Daphnia pulex: one gene and its partner. The protein of the gene in region 1 interacts with the protein of each later gene in a pairwise test. Links are inferred from orthologs where the notes say so. Each region holds a gene or a part of one and is shown on either strand. Other genes may lie near its edges. The genes, in order: ras-like protein 1 and trafficking protein particle complex subunit 6b-like.

Evidence for each region.
Region 2: the proteins of ras-like protein 1 (region 1) and trafficking protein particle complex subunit 6b-like interact in a two-hybrid assay, tested with the Drosophila melanogaster proteins (2 studies listed by BioGRID). The link is inferred for Daphnia pulex from reciprocal best matches to the Drosophila melanogaster genes CG5160 and Trs33.

Annotation. Positions count from the first base shown.
Region 1 is NC_060022.1:5,753,042-5,757,647, forward strand, and holds the start of ras-like protein 1, read left to right. Parts: upstream 1-1,593; 5' UTR 1,594-1,751; intron 1,752-3,464; exon of another isoform or gene 3,465-3,483; 5' UTR 3,484-3,522; coding exon 3,523-3,636; intron 3,637-3,704; coding exon 3,705-3,735; intron 3,736-4,606.
Region 2 is NC_060028.1:8,533,254-8,536,349, forward strand, and holds trafficking protein particle complex subunit 6b-like, read left to right. Parts: upstream 1-1,502; 5' UTR 1,503-1,657; coding exon 1,658-1,744; intron 1,745-1,801; coding exon 1,802-1,863; intron 1,864-1,926; coding exon 1,927-2,128; intron 2,129-2,195; coding exon 2,196-2,321; 3' UTR 2,322-2,430; downstream 2,431-3,096. Other genes in the region: golgin subfamily A member 4-like, read right to left, coding at 65-262, 325-603, 847-948, 1,155-1,244; NADH dehydrogenase (ubiquinone) complex I, assembly factor 6-like, read right to left, coding at 2,431-2,616, 2,676-3,096.

The DNA of each region.
Region 1 (4,606 bases):
TAGGAGTCGTGGATTCCGGAGCTGGTGCGTAGTTGAAGACGTTGCGACGGAAAAGACGGTTGTTGTCTTGGTGACTGAAGAATCAGGCATACAGTGGCTAAGCTAGGCTATTGCAACATCAAACATCGTGCTACATAACGGTCACTGATCTAAAAGCAAAAATAAAAAATGAACTAAAGAGCTGAGTGAATAAAATAAAATTTATTATTTTCCAATCCGCCCGTTCGTTTCTTTTATCTATAAAAAGATTTGATACACATTTAATACGCTTAGATTTTCCAGGTAAAATACTACGGTACCGGTAGCTATATAACCCATATAACAATAACAGGAAGGTAAATAATAAATAATAATAATAATAATAATATGGGTTGCTTATGCACGCGGCCAAATACATGCGGTCTTTTTGTCAGTTCGGCGGAAAGGATGGAACAAAAATATTGCTGACTGCGGCCGTTTAGGCTTATGGCGCTTATTTTATATTTCGCACGAAAGGAGATCTATACGGCGTATATAGGCTTGATAAAGGCACTTTCTAGACAAATCTGGTGAGTTATGATTCTCTTCCAAGTGTTAATATAAAACCTTGGCATTGGAAAGTTACACAAAAGAAGCCAACCATAGAAATCAAAATAGCCAACTAGAAATCATTGCATTTCCGACATTCTTAGAGTTTGCATAGCAGGGCTACTTTTATTATTGGCCTTTATATGGACACGCGTAGCCAATATTATTCTGTTTTGATTTTACTTTGGCGTATAGCCATCATCCCTTTCCGGCTTTTATGTTACTTTAAAATGCACGGCGGGAGAAAGAAAACAAGCAGTGTCACAATGCAACGCCTGCCTTTGTTGTAAAGTTCACGACACTTTCAAAAGGGTTTCCTCAGACGAGAGCGTTCACACATGAACACTCAATCGGAAAACTTAGGACAAAGTGAGCGTGATCCTTTTTTTATCTTCGAATAGCCCGACAATTGCTTTTCTTTTCGAGTAGCCTGACAATACAATCTCACAATGCGGTTGGATATTTCGGTCATAATTTTTGTCAAACCTTTTACCAGAATCAGTTCAATAGAGAAAAGTCGCCAATCAACACCATTTATCACGTAATCAGATTTATGCTGCATTCAACGCAAACTCTTTAGCAGGAGTACCACCACGTAGGATGGTATCACGTAGGTACATTTCAACAAAAAAAACGAATACGTAGCCTAAATGACTATTTTGCTATGTATCATGATAAATTACTTTTATCATTGGACATGAATAAAAGAATCTTTTTACGTAGGTTTTTCCAGACTATTTTTTCTATTTTTATTTTTATTTTTATGTTTTTGGGTGATCTGCTTTTGAAATATTAGCAATAGTTCTAAGGAAATTTAGCAAATACTGTTTGGACTATTATTGAAAAGTTGGTAGTGACAAGTAAAGAAGAAAATAAAACAATTCAAGTTTTTTTAATTCATTGTGGCCTCAAACTGTTGTTGCGCGCGCGCCTGTCGAAGAACATGTCCTTGTTCTGTACTCTACATCCAGCCGCAGCCCATGGAGACATCCGCCCAAATGCTAGCACTCCCAGGGTGAGCCTCCCAGTGTCGGTGGAGCTTTCGATCAGAAAACAAGACGCTCAAGTTGCTCTCATCGATTGCCGGTTGATGCTCATTTGATATTTTGGTATTTGGTTATTTGGTTGATTGTGTTACTGGCGAGCTGTGACTCATATTCTATCAATCAACAACTTAATCAGCAGTGAGTGATGTTATGCTACCGCTTACGTATAATATTATGTTTCACATTTTCACTGAGTTGTTGACTTGTCTCTTTTAGAGACAATCCAATTTTTTATTCGTCATTCAATGTTTAATTAATAGTTGGCCTTCCGTTATAGCTTTCCGAGCAATCAAGTGGAGCTCGTTGGAGTCTGTGCTTATTGAAACGCGGAGCTGGATTATTATCATTGTCTTTATTTATCTATCATTCTGCCTCACTTGCGATGGGGTAGCGCTATATCGTCATGGTCGATATACACAACTGATGTCTATATCCCTCGACAATCCGTCTCTACCTACCGCTATCTACGTCGGTCGTTTTCCCATATTTTCATCCTTTTCTTTGTACTTTCCTCTCGGATAGAGCCATTTGATTTTCATTGTTGATTATTGGTTAGCGTTGTTATAGGGCCGTTATTTTCATGGCGAAAGCCAGGGTCGCATTATATATCCTTGCACCGAAAAAGACGCTCCCTTTCCCGGTATACAAGGAAAAAAGATCGCTTTGCGCTTTTCAGCGAAAATCGTTTGGAAACGAAAGGGGGAAAAAAAGAGACACAAAAATATACTACGTTGAATGACGCACTTCCAGCTCACCATTTGTGCGCCGTATTCTTTTATTTGAATTCGTATCGCGTTCCGGAAATCTTTTCCTTGTTTATTTCCTTGCTGATGAAGCAACGCAGATTGCTCTGCGCTTATAGCAAAAATCCAGCTATGCCGCAACCAAAAAATAAATAGTATAACCGCTAAAAGAGCATCTATTCGTCATTCAGTCAAGTCCAGTTGGTTGATTGGATATATTTTTCTTTGTCGCTGGCTGAGCTCCTGAATAGCTATATCACTCTCTATATACCGAGGGGGAAAAGTAAGGCTACGTCAGCAATTAATAGTGCATTGAAGCAGTCCAGCGTCCAGCGTACGTCTTGAAGAGAAATTGAGATTAATAATAAGACGCCTTCTATAAACACAGAGCGACCGTGGATCATCCACGATCCACAGCCGCTCGTATATGTGCTATACGTAACATATCGCACATGTACTATATGTTACGTTTTCTGTGAAAATGGTATTACAGTTATGCGGATGATTTCCTGTTTTGTCTCCAAATGCTCTACCCCATTCTTGTTCGATCCTCGCGCCCATCAGCAGCTCGCTATATGTGGGGCGTGTGAGCCGAAGGCTATCAAAGACAGCTGCCGAGCCTTTGACAGACCTTTAAGATCAAAATGGTGGTTTCATCATATCCGTCCGCGTCTCTGCTCGTCCCTCTTCCTTTTGCTCTTTCTGCGATGATATCCTCCTCCCCCTAGGCCATTTCATCCCATCCGTATTTCTCACATTGCTGCTCTCAATTGTTATCCAGCGGGCGGTTCTGTCTAGTATATAGCAGATCCCATTTCCTGTGTCTCCCCCGCTTTCTTCCGTCTCACGCAATACTCTAGGCTATATATTCCGCATAGTTTGTTACCGAACGAAATGAAACGAGAATATTGAAAAAAGAGAAATCTAGTAACTCTTTGAAGGAAACCTAATCATCGTGACTGAGACATAAGACATAATATATAGTACCCCGCGAACCTCAGATGTCATCTTGAACATAATACAGATCTATCTGGATTCCTCTTTTCTGCACATATGAATTAGGATTGCGGTCGTGATGTTGGAAATTAAAAATAAACAAACAAAAAAGTTTGAATTTGTTGTTGCAGGCTTGGAGCAGACGTGGTCGAAGCAAGGAGGGAAAATCGATGGCGTCGCCACCCAAACACCAGCAACACCCGTCGGATAGTCCGCACTGCAACAAGTTGGTCAACCGCCTTAATTTGGCAACGTTGTCTTTAAGGCCACGATGGCGAGTCATGGTAGAGTTTACAAATCCTGATTTTCATTGCTAATCATTTTCTAATCAATGTTATTATTTTATGCACAGGTTCTCGGTCATCACTCGGTTGGCAAATCTGGTAAGATAATTTCAGCTTTTATTTGAGTCCATCATGAGTATATAGCTGATAAGAAAAATGTGTCGAGTTACAAAGTCTTTCCTAGCAAGCTTCCGAGCGCAATTGTTTTTAAATTTATGGCGAAATCGATACACCAGCTAGAGTGGAGTCTAATTTTTCAATAATATTGAATAGACTTGATGTATTCAGTATGCTCGGCAGTTGCTATGTTAATATTATGGAAAACCCAGGAAAAACATCAGGCCTTGTGATGTCTCATGCCGGTTGTCTGGGCTGTCAGTGTTGGTTGGTCAACTGACAATAGTATTTGATATCACCTCGTACACATTGAACCCTTCAAGAATAAAATAGACGGCGTAAAACGACAGGACGACCAAACAGACATCGCACATCACACATTTATGATAGTAAATAAGGTGGGCATATGTTATTTCCACGAACCCTTTGTAATATCAAACGCGCTACTACAACTCTAGAAGTGTGGACGTGCGTATACAGTATAAGTTGTGTGTTTGCGACGGCTGATTGTATCATTGCATCCTTTAAAAAAGAGCAAGTCAAACCAACTATACGACTGCTGCAGTGCATATGAGTGTGTAACTAGGGCAAGAGAGAGCACAAGTTTAGTAATGCAAATGAGAAGGCGATGTGAGGCTAATGGTAAAGCGCAACGACATGGCATATTACTTCGGAGAAAGGCTCTATCATTCCATCGCGATTGCTAATTCGTCGACGAGGCTTTGGCAGTCGGGAGACAGCTGTTTACCGAGAAGTCAACAGTTTCCCCAACATGTGTAGCGCGCAATGGGAATGCCGAATGCGTAGAATACCGGCCAGACATTATTCTCGCGGACCCCAAAACCTCTTCATA
Region 2 (3,096 bases), on another chromosome or scaffold:
TACATGGAAGGGCAATAAGCAATCAATAAGAATTGGTGTTTTGGAAACCAAACAATATTCCCACCTTGACTTTTTCTCTGTCGCGCTCTAGTTCTTTATAATGTCGTGCCAAATCAGAGTAACGTCCTTTATATTTATGATAGCGCACCCTCATTTTCTGGTAGGCATTATAAACGTGCTCTTTGGATATTCGATCAACAGCATGCGTACCACTCTGGCTGGCGGAATCGTCAAATTCGCTTACATTAGACTCTAGATCCGACTGGACAGGAAACGTAATTCGATTAGGTTAGTTTATTCGATGCTTTGGTGAGGATATAGTACCTGGAATTGATACGGGTGATATGTCGGATCTGAAGAACCAGGAAGAAATGAGACATCACTGAAAACAGAGCTAAGTGATGACTGGCGGGATAGCCGACCGGTATGGTTAGCAGATTGTGGAGTGCTGGTCGTCATTTCTCGTTTGGGTTCATTTAGATTCACAGGTTGAAATCGTCCTTCTTTGTTTGAGCCTGATGGTGATGACGGTCGACTATCAACGTCGGCTATGCTAAATGCGTTGATTCCTGCTTCTCCATCTTCGGCGATGTCAACTAATGTCTGAGAAGATTTAAAATTAGATGAATGAGTTTTATGGATTTAATTAAATACATAAAAAACGATATGCATGTAATGTTGATGCAGAGGTAAGGCAAGATTTCAACAATAACAAATTGAACTGATATTTCTTATATTTCTAAAGCCACAGTCCTGTAAAGCCAACATGAGTGCACAAAATTACTTAAAAAAATGCAAAATTAATTTGCAAAATGCATCATTCATTGAATATCATCTCTAAGTTACCTCATGAGTTCTTTGAATTGCAGCATTTTCCCCCAGGCCACTTTGAATCTGTTGGGCTTCTATGACATCACCATTATGTGCTTCCCGAGTGAAAGGAGAGTACTGAAGGTTGTGAAGGAAAACAGGGTAAAAGCACAAAGCAGCATAATTAAAAGCTTGTTTTTCCATGCCCCACAACCAGACAAAATAGCTTGCACATTAAAGACCTCAATAGTTGATATTAAAAATACCGACTTGATCATCAATAAGCCATGACAGTAAAAACTCTTATGGTAATGAACACGGAGAATTCGGTATAGAATCCCTACCTGAGACAAATGTTGCTGCACAGAAGTTGGAAGCCGTAACGGAGATTGCTTTACTTCCTCAGCAATTTTATCCTTTAATTTCTTGAACATGATCGAACAATATCGGAGCAAGATCCACCTGTCAAAACTTATTGTATGACGTCACTCACACCATTAAGCGCTGGTGCTGCTCTCAAACCGTCAAACGTTATTTCAGCTTTAAGAAAATCTAATTGATTATTTCAATAATAATTTCACGTAAAAACTGCTATATTACTCAAGCGTAGTCGTATTATTATGTCTTCAGGGATCAGGAATATTTTTGAATTGTAAAAAAAAACTACAAAATTAGTTTTTCATACTAGGGCAACCGCAACCCAAACTAAATTTAGAGTTGTCTGCTAGAAAACCTTATTGTTTACGTCTCTGCACATATTCGTTCAAGTTAATTTCATGAATATTCTTGTCTGAATTAAAATATTCGATAATTTATTTACCTCTTTCGAACTTGTCGTGTATAAGAAATGGCCGATGATGCGTTGTTTGATTTTCTTCATATGGAAATAGTCAGTCAAGTGACAAAATCTGATCCTGGCTCCCTTCAAGATGGAGTAAGTTTTGTTCAATTCACATAGCTTTTTCAGAATAAACACTGACTGTTCTTACAGGATGAAGCTATGTCTAAATTGGAACAAATTGGCTACTCCACTGGCTATAGATTCATTGAAAGGTACAGAAAAAATCCTTTTGTATGTGACAGTTGTGACACTTAGTAATATTTATCATTTCTAAGACTAACCAAGGATTTATCAAGATTTAAAGATGAGCTAGAAGTCATGAAAGCTATCTGTAAAGATTTTTGGAGTGCAGTTTTCAAGAAGCAAGTTGACAACCTCAGGACTAATCATCAAGGTGTATATGTCCTCCAAGATAACAAGTTTAGGTTCCTTGCCTCAATATCCAACAGCAGGCAATATCTAGAATTAGCCCCAAAGGTATTTTATAACTTTCAACCATATTCATTTCTTTTTGTCTGATTATTATTCCTTTATGTGATTTCAGTATCTAGTTTTTACATGTGGTTTGTTGAGAGGAGCTTTAGCCTCCCTAGGACTCACCTGCATTGTTACTGCTGAAGTGACAACCATGCCAGCTTGTAAATTCCAGGTCCACCTCCAAAGAGCTTAATCAATCATATTAGTTCACATCATACTTTATTTTTGTTTGTTTGTTTTATATATGCATAACAAGGTGGCTGATGTCTTGGATGAAACATTAAATAAATGCAATTGAAATACTAAATTTTACCCCTAAACTTATTCCACCATAGTTTCCAAGGGAGCAGATTGTTCCGCTGCGATAATTTCGGATCAAAGACATTAAAATCCGCTGCCCTCAGTTGATCTAAATACGAATCCACACTGATTAAAGGCATTAGCGCAATCTTCGCTTCAGACGGTACTTTTGGGATAATAGTTCTTGCCTAATAAGAAAAGACGTTTTTAAATGAAACGAATTTAAACAAATAAAGAATGACTTTACCTTTTGAATATGGGCATTAGCTGTACTAGCTACATCAAAGATCAAGTCTTTCACTTTCTTGTCATCAGAACCTCTTAGAAAATCATTTTGAGAAACTTTGTGTTGAACAAGAAGATCAAGAGGCACATACACTTGTTGCCTTTTTGAATTATATGGGATTGCTCTCAATAGTGTAACGAGTCCTTGAGCTCTCCCAATGTGACTAGCAGCATGATCACTATCAACTTTTCTAATATTGAGAGACTCCAATGTAAGGTACAGGACAGACGAAACAGAATGTTCTGCATAATCCTCTACTTTTGAAAGAGATTGAAAAGCTTTGGAAGACAAGTGATTTTCTCTACTGGAGATCAACCTTTGCAGCCACCTTTTGGAGAGATTATGACGTTGGACAGCTTCGTAAAGCTGCAAAGCAACTAGC